Linked DNA regions of Arabidopsis thaliana. The protein of the gene in region 2 interacts with the protein of the main gene of each other region in a pairwise test. Each region holds a gene or a part of one and is shown on either strand. Other genes may lie near its edges. The genes, in order: NAC020 and HB30.

What was found.
Region 1: the proteins of HB30 (region 2) and NAC020 interact in a two-hybrid assay, tested with the Arabidopsis thaliana proteins (one study listed by BioGRID).

Annotation. Positions count from the first base shown.
Region 1 is NC_003070.9:20,278,882-20,282,788, forward strand, and holds NAC020 (NAC domain containing protein 20), read right to left. Parts: upstream 2,072-3,907; 5' UTR 2,009-2,071; coding exon 1,852-2,008; intron 1,700-1,851; coding exon 1,431-1,699; intron 1,314-1,430; coding exon 834-1,313; 3' UTR 626-833; downstream 1-625.
Region 2 is NC_003076.8:4,936,854-4,941,293, forward strand, and holds HB30 (homeobox protein 30), read right to left. Parts: upstream 2,355-4,440; 5' UTR 1,837-2,354; coding exon 1,021-1,836; 3' UTR 612-1,020; downstream 1-611. UniProt on the Arabidopsis thaliana protein: Putative transcription factor.

The DNA.
Region 1 (3,907 bases), on a different chromosome or scaffold from region 2:
CATTTATAGTAAGATTGTTTTAGGGATAGTATAATAAGAATGATTAAATAATCTTGCATTTGAGAGAGATCAATGTATGACCTAGACAAAAACGATGATTCGTCTTCAAGTGAAAACTATTAGACCACTATCACTTGGTTAAATTAAATTAAAAGTATCATAAACTAGAGATTTCTTCATGATAATGTTGTTTGTATCTTCCAAATCAATCACAAACTATATATAGTATCATAAACTCGAGATGTCTTTAATCATTGTCTTGTAATTCTCATCTTTTTTAATAAAGAATTTATTTTGTTTGTAGTGAAATTTGTCTCGATTTTTCTCTCTTCTTTGTTTTCAGCTTCTTTTCTTGAGAATTTTTTCTTTATTCATTCAGATTTTAAAACTTTTGTTTCATATTCATAACACATATATATAGTTAAATAAGATATTGATCCGCAGTCGGACATATATAATCCGAAAAGTTTTCCAAATTTGCGTTGCCATGACGCCCATGCCAGATTTTAAGTCTACAAGTATGCAAACCAATAAGTAATGTCGATCGATTACACAATTTTTACTTCCGTTTTCCCTCCTATATATGACAAAACCAACCAACTCTAGTGATTAAGTACCATACACACCTAATGATAAAAATTAAAATAAAATAATGCAATTTCTTTTTGTGGTAGAAAAAATAATTCCACAAACCTCCTCACCCTTTTTCACCAGTCAAACTAATTCATAAGCAAAAAACAAGTAAAAAAAAAAATACTATATATGAAGTACCCGAGTATATTTAAATAAGTTGAGAAAAGAAGTACTAGATGATAGTATGAGATATGGATTTATCAAAGGGAAGCGGGGAAAGTGGCGGAAGAAGAGAAGATTTCGTCAAGTGTCCCGTTCATAGAGTCTCTGCATTGAAAGTCTTGTTGGATTGACATAATCTCTGCTTCGTTCATAGAAAGTTGAGGGAAATCTTGGAGTTGAAGAGGAGGATGATATGGAAGCTGATGAGAATAGTTTGAGAAAAGATGATCATGATCGTCCAGAAGAGAAGATGAGAAATGAAGAGCAAATATGGATGAGCTGTTTGCTTCGTCTAAAAGGACCCCTTGAGTTAGCTCTGATGAAGATGTCTCCGCGGATGCTCTTTTCAAGCTCTCGTCTTCAATATAATTACCATCACATTTTCTCCACTTCTTCTCCTTTTCTTCTTCCTCTTCTTTTCCTACACTAGTGCTCTCTTCTTCTGCTTCTTCTTCTTCCCCTTTTCTCTTTGGAATTTGTATGTTCTTCTTAAACACTCGGCACAATGCATACGACTCCTGTTTTAGATCAACATTAATATTAGTCGATATGGTTTATCAAAAAAAAAAAAATTAGATCAGAAATGAATATAGATATATATGTTAATAGAAGTTTGTGCATGGGAAATAATTTACCTTCAAGGAGGAGGAAGGAGCGTGCGTGAGACGATATTCATGCATGACCCAATTAGTACGAAGGCCATGAGGAGCCCTTCCTCTATAATAAACCAGTGTCTTCTTCATTCCCATCTTCATCTTCTTTGATTCTACTGTACGATCTTTCCCCGTGGCCTTCCAGTAACCCGCTCGGGTCGCACGGTTCGTCCTAGAGCCATTTGGATACTTCTTATCCCTTGTGCTGTAAAAGTACCATTCCATGTCGTTTCCCGGCAAAAATGACTTTTCTGTTCCGCGTATTATCCAAATAAATAACTCATAAAACCTCCAATATCATATGTATGAATGCATCATGACCAATATATGTAATCTATAACGTCAGATTGACATAAACAAGCTGAACCATATATAGAGAGAGATATAAAGAGTTGGATCGTACCAGGCAAGTCCCATGGCTCGCATTTATAAAGATCAACTTCTGGGATGATCTCGAGCTCAATGGCTTGGCCGTTGACCTTCCTATCAAGATAGTAAGCCACCAGTTCTTCATCAGTGGGATGAAACCTGAATCCTGGAGGCAAACTCATGGGCGCCATTCAAAGTGTATGCGTTAGAAAACGAGAGAGAAAGAGATGAGAGAGATTAATTAAAGTGATTAGGATGTTCGTACGACATATGAAGGTGACTATATATAATTAAAAAGATGAGACTCTGAAGAAGATATGATATGGGAATGTGTAAAAGTATGCCATGGGATTGGCATCTTCTGAGATTAATATTTTGTCTTACTTTGGGTTGCTTTTTGGTCAGTGTTTGTCATGATACTCATCACACATATTTTCTAAAACCAATATATATATTTTAAATAAAAACCTAACTCTGGCTTTTGAAGATTCTGCAAGTGTGAAAACCCTAGTAGGAGGAGAGACGGAAAAAGCTTTAGCAAGAAGGCCCCATCTCACAAATACTCACATATATGAATGTATATGCTTATAATTCCGGTTAGACCTTAACGTGGGTCATGAATCATTATAGAGGGATTTTTATAACGTTTGCTTTAAACCAAAAATGAAGGCTTTTTATGATTCAACAGTTTAGGGGACCCATCTCTTCTTCTCAAACCAAATCTACCTGGCGACACCTAAACACTCGGCTTTTTCTTTTCTTTTTTTTTCGGTTTGACAGTTTTGTTATATTGTTTTATGTTGTTATGGTCTTATAATAAGAATACTTATAAATTGAATTCATATATATGATTAAAAAATGGGAGAATAAAAAAGCAGGAGGCATCCAAGTCGACTTTGGCTTTAGTGTTGGGAGGCTTCTTTAGTCCCTTTTACATATGGATTAAAGACGTTGTTCGGCTCTTTTACATCATTACTCCCACACAATCTTTGACTCTCTTTCTCTCGGCCCTTCAATTTTACTAACTTCCGGTCAAATCTCTTTTGCCTCGACTCTCGGCCTCGATCCAAAAGATAAATTAAAAAAATAAGGACATCTTCATTCTTCACATGTATGATATATATAACTCATGTCATATATTAGATGTCTCGTTTACATGGTTTTTTTTCGTTTGCTAATATATATAATTCACATGTAGACGAAGAACATTGTAAACGGAATTTAACAGAATGAAGTAATCAAACGTTTTATGTAAGGAAATGATCAAATACTGAGGGAGTCCACAAGTTGCGACATATATAAAACTCCTCCATTCTTATAAAGTATAATATTCAAACTTCAAGTAAGTAACTCTCCCTTTTCCGTGAGAAAGAAATAACAATAACATTTTAGGGAAGCTTTAAGATGTGGTCACCAATAACTTAGGGAGAGAGAGAGAGAGTGACAGATACAAAAAACAAAAGATAGCAACTGAAAAATATTTTGGCGAAAGATGCTTTAACAGTTTAACTTATCAAACGACAACAACAAGACATGCCCCAATTGTTTCACCACTTTGTTTTTCTTGGTCACAAATCGAGTCTAAGTCTATATGAACAAGTAATTAATGTGAGTACTATATATAAAAAAAAATGTGACTATATATATAAATGTTGTATCACAAATGCAAAAGGAATGTGGATTAATTAATTAATAAAGACAACGAGGAAGCTAACATGCAAGCCTAACTAAAGACATGCAACCTTTGATACGATCTAAGGGGAAGCGAATAAAGCTAATTAAGATCTAAGCATCTTATCTTATCAACCCTTTTATATTTCCATTTCACATGTATCAAGTACCTATACTCTTTCTCAAGCTTATAGTATTGATATCTAGAGTATCAAATAAACATTAATTAATTAGACGTAACACAATAGTGACATTATTAAATGAATAGTAAACAAACTTTACGTGTATATATATCCATGACGAAATTGGCAAAGGCGGGACTCTATGGGGGAATCATGATAATACATACATACGATATACATGTTGACATGTATCATGTATCATGATAATACATACATCATCCCTTTTTTGTTGGTTTG
Region 2 (4,440 bases):
TCTTAGTTGTATCTTTTACCATTTCAACAAATAAACAAACAGGTGTTAACTACTAGCATCGAAAATAAACACACAAAATAGTAACTGTGTTTTCATGTTTTTGAGTTATCTACATATACATTTTTGCAGCCACTATATGAAATAAATCTTCAAGTTGAGACTTATTTACAGTGGTTGTCACTGGCATTTAATAATTATTTTTGATAATTAGAAAGTAAATTTTCGAATTAAATATTTGACATTTAACTATCTTCTCAAAATCTCTCTACAATAACTACACGATTAGTTACTAAAATAAAACTTCTAAAATATTTAACATCATTTAAAAATTACAAAATTATCATTTTTGATATTGCTTTTTTTGCATGACTATAACAATTCCATTATACGCATCAACCCACATAGATATTTTATAGCAGTTAATTATTACAAAATTACAAAATATTTAGACAATGATTTATAAACATATCATAAATAAGATCAACATTAATAAAATAAATAGTTTTTTTTACTTAATAACAATTGTAAACTATAAAATAAAAATATTTTATAGATAGATACAATTTGTAAACTTTTATATATACTAACTTAAAAAAAAAAAAATTGTCCTTGCGGTATACCGCGGGTTAAAAATCTAGTAATGTCACATAATTGCAACAAATTCCCTCATTTCTTTCATAAATTTCTATATAAAGAAAAAAAGTAAAAATAAAAAAGCAAACTGATATAGAATTTAGAAAACAATTGGATTAATTGACTTTGTTATTCGGTTTTAGGAGGTTACTCATTTATCTTTCTTCTCACATTTGGTCGAAAGATACAACTCAAATCACCTCTCTAACAAAGATAAACTACTAACAAGAGTACAAACTACAAGACATAACAAAACAAAGTGGAATAGAAAAAAGATTTTGACCCGTTGACTAAAAATAAAAAATCTTCAAAACACAGAGAAGAAAAACCAAAAAAGAATTAGCCTCTAAAACGACGACGCTTTTTCAACGCTTTCCATTCTTTTCCTCACGTCGAAGAAAACGACCCATTTGTCGGAACAACACTCTGACGACTATCTCCTACTCCTCCTACTACTACTCCGCCGTTAGCTCTTCTAGCGCCGCTGCGTCCTGAAATCTTGTTGTTATGCATCCACACTTTGAAAACGCTTTTATCAACTCCAATCTCCCGACAAAACTCCTTAACCACCACGTCATCAGCTTTCGGCATCCTCCACCCAACTCTCTCCGAGAACTCGAACATCTTCTCCTTCTGATACTGACTAAACTTCGTCCTAAAACGTTTCCTAGACATTGGAACCGCCGTGTTAGCTCCTCCTCTTCCTCCAGAGAGTGCGAGAAGCATGTAAGAAGACGAGATCGGCGGTGGAGAAGCTGAATCATCGTCGTCTGGACTACGAATCCCCGCCAGATGAGGAGGAGGCGGTGGAGGAAGCTGGTGACGGTTGTGAGGTCGAAATTCGATCGCAGGGACGATGGCAGAGAGAGAAGATGGATCCTCCTCACGGCGGTGGAAGTTACGGTGGCAACCACAAGCAGCGCACGTTAGTGAAGCGGGGTCATTGGAGTTAAACGACGGTGACGGCATAAACTCGCCGCATCCGTCTAAAGCGTGACCGCCGATACCTGCTGCGTGATTCTTTAGACATTCTTTATAAGTCGCAACCGCAACCGCTTCAGATGCAAGATGATGGTGGTGGCAGCGTTTGCCGTTTGAGAAAGAAATAGGCTTCGCGGGCTGGATCCGGATCGGAGCTTCGATTTCGGGTTGTCGTGAATCCAAGTCGGATACTATAGTAGTTGTAGTAGCTATTACATCCATGACAACTCAAAACATTTAGGGTTTCGAAAAACAAGAAGAAGAAATGTTTTGTAAACTTGGGTTTTGGTTATTGTAATACAAATAAGATTTAAGAAACAAGAAGTATTATAATTTTCTAGAGATGGAGGAAGAAGAAGAATAGATGATAGAAGTAAAGATAAGGTAAAGATTGCACTAAACAAAACTGTTTTTAAATTGTAAACTCGAAATCTTTGGGATGGGTTTATGTATTTGGGAGAGATAAGATTAGAAAAGGGGAAATTTAAAACTATGTATTATTTACTCAAGTCTCTCATGGAGGAAGAAAGAGATGAGAAGTTGAAGACTGTTGATAATGAGAAATCCAAGTTGTGTGGTTGAGATTCATAATCATTATGTGTTTTTTTTTTTTTGGTTGAATATTTTTTTTTAACCATGGTTTGTTGACCCCATCTAGGGTTAATGAAAAAAGATAAGTGTAATAAATATAGGCTAATAAATAGAGTTCATAGAACAGCATCTAATGTGAGTCATGTCTTTTTCTTTTTGCTAAATTTGTATCTCCATGACGTTGACAACTTTAATAATATATACTCCAATTTTATATCAATATTAATCTTTTTTGCTACCTTTCAAATTTCAATTATTATTATTTCTCGTTATTTTTTTTTATTTTTTTTTCTCCTTATTTAAGCTGAAAATTTCGTGTGGAAGTAAAGCATGAATATAATTAAGGTTGATTCGGGTTGTTGATTCAATGATGTTAACTAAAGACAAAAGTTAATATTTCGTATTGTTGATCAAAAGCAATGTTTATCCAAAAATGTTAAAATCTCGACCTTCCCTAGTTTTATAGTTCATGGTTTGTCTTCAATCTTATGTCGAAAAAACTATCAACTTACAATCTTAAAAGTTACTCTACTACCAAATTTTTGCAAAAAAAACTATGACTAGCTTAATTTATTTACTTCTCAACTACTCCACTAATTAACTCAAAAATGTTTATTGACTATACATGTTGACGGTTAAAGTGGCCTTAAGAAAAGGAGACCACAACTAAAAAAGCTGACACGAGCAGTGGTGAAGAACGATGCCGTTTACTCCAAACTTCTTTAAAGCTGTATAAAAAAGTCTTTAATCAGAGAGGTGTAGACCAAACCTAAGATCGTTTGCAAATCCATTACTAATAATAAGTGATAAACTAACAATTCAAAGCAAAAACTCCATAAATAATTGATAGTATACCAATTTTTTTAGGAGATTTGCTAAAATATGACCGATAAATTTTATCAAAAAATTCAGACAAATTTTATGGAAGTTTTAATTTTGATGCTCTAAATCCAACGGTTGAATTCTCCGTCAAAATTTTGAATTTTAACGGGTTTCTAAAATGTCGTCTGTTTTCTTATAGTAGTAACGTAATTGTAAATCTCAACTCTTAAAACTTTTTCTTTCTTTTGACTAATGATGATATGAAATTGTCTAAATACCAAAAACAGCTAACACGCGTACATATCTTGCAACATGGCGCTACCTAATCAAACCATGTTCGTCTGTTATGGAAGACAATTCTCTTCTTCTCAAATACATTGAACTTTAACATTATACTTTAATTAATGTAGGTATATATTACGACTTGCACGACTTACCATAGCCAAAATAGGGAACCACCGTATCAACATTTCAAGCATTTAGATATAACTTGATTGTTGATTGGTCTTATTGTTACCGCACTACGATTATCTATAGATTTCATAGACAACAAAATAATATAACACATATATTATTGTTTTAGAAATAGTTATAAGGCTTTTTACTCTTTAGTTAGGAAGAATAAGGCAAACCGACATTAAATAAGCTTTATGCCCATAACAAGGATAATATTAATTAGTTTTTTTTTTTCAGGATATATTATCTGACGCAATTATTTGATGATCTATCTGTGATTTTTTCTTTCTTTCTAAAATCTATTATATGTTATGCCTGTATATGTTTTATATATACACATATCCTACTTTATGTATGTGTGCAAATGCAATTGGAAGGATTTATCATATACGATGAATGTATCGCATGGGTGGTTAGTATGCATTAATATGGACTGTTCTTAAGATTTGTGAATAAAGAAAAAAACAATGACATCTTCTTCTTCCTTTTTTTGTGTTATAAACGAAATGATTTTATTTTAATTGTATTGTTTTTGAATAGGAATGTGTAAAATTACAAGAAAATAATAATTCAAAAACTAAATATTGATGTGCATGGCAACTTGAGAAGTATTTGAGGAAACTTTAATGGCTAAAACAAGTTGGCTCTTGATTTCACATTATGCCAAAAACAAAGCTGGTTCGTCCATATATGATAATATGAGAGAAATTTATGTTTGAAATTTTAATTGAAATTTTAAACCCGATAGGATAAATATGTTTCTGATTCAATGAACGGATCTAGCCGCGTTGACGGGCCAGAGCCTGAGGCTTAGAATGTTGGCCCATTATTCGATGAGTTTATAACGGGCCGGGAAAACATTATCTCAGACTGTTACTTGTCTGTTTTGCGTAACACATATGAGAGAAACTCAGACTTGATTAACATCTATTTCCGAATAAAACTTGATTTGTTGAA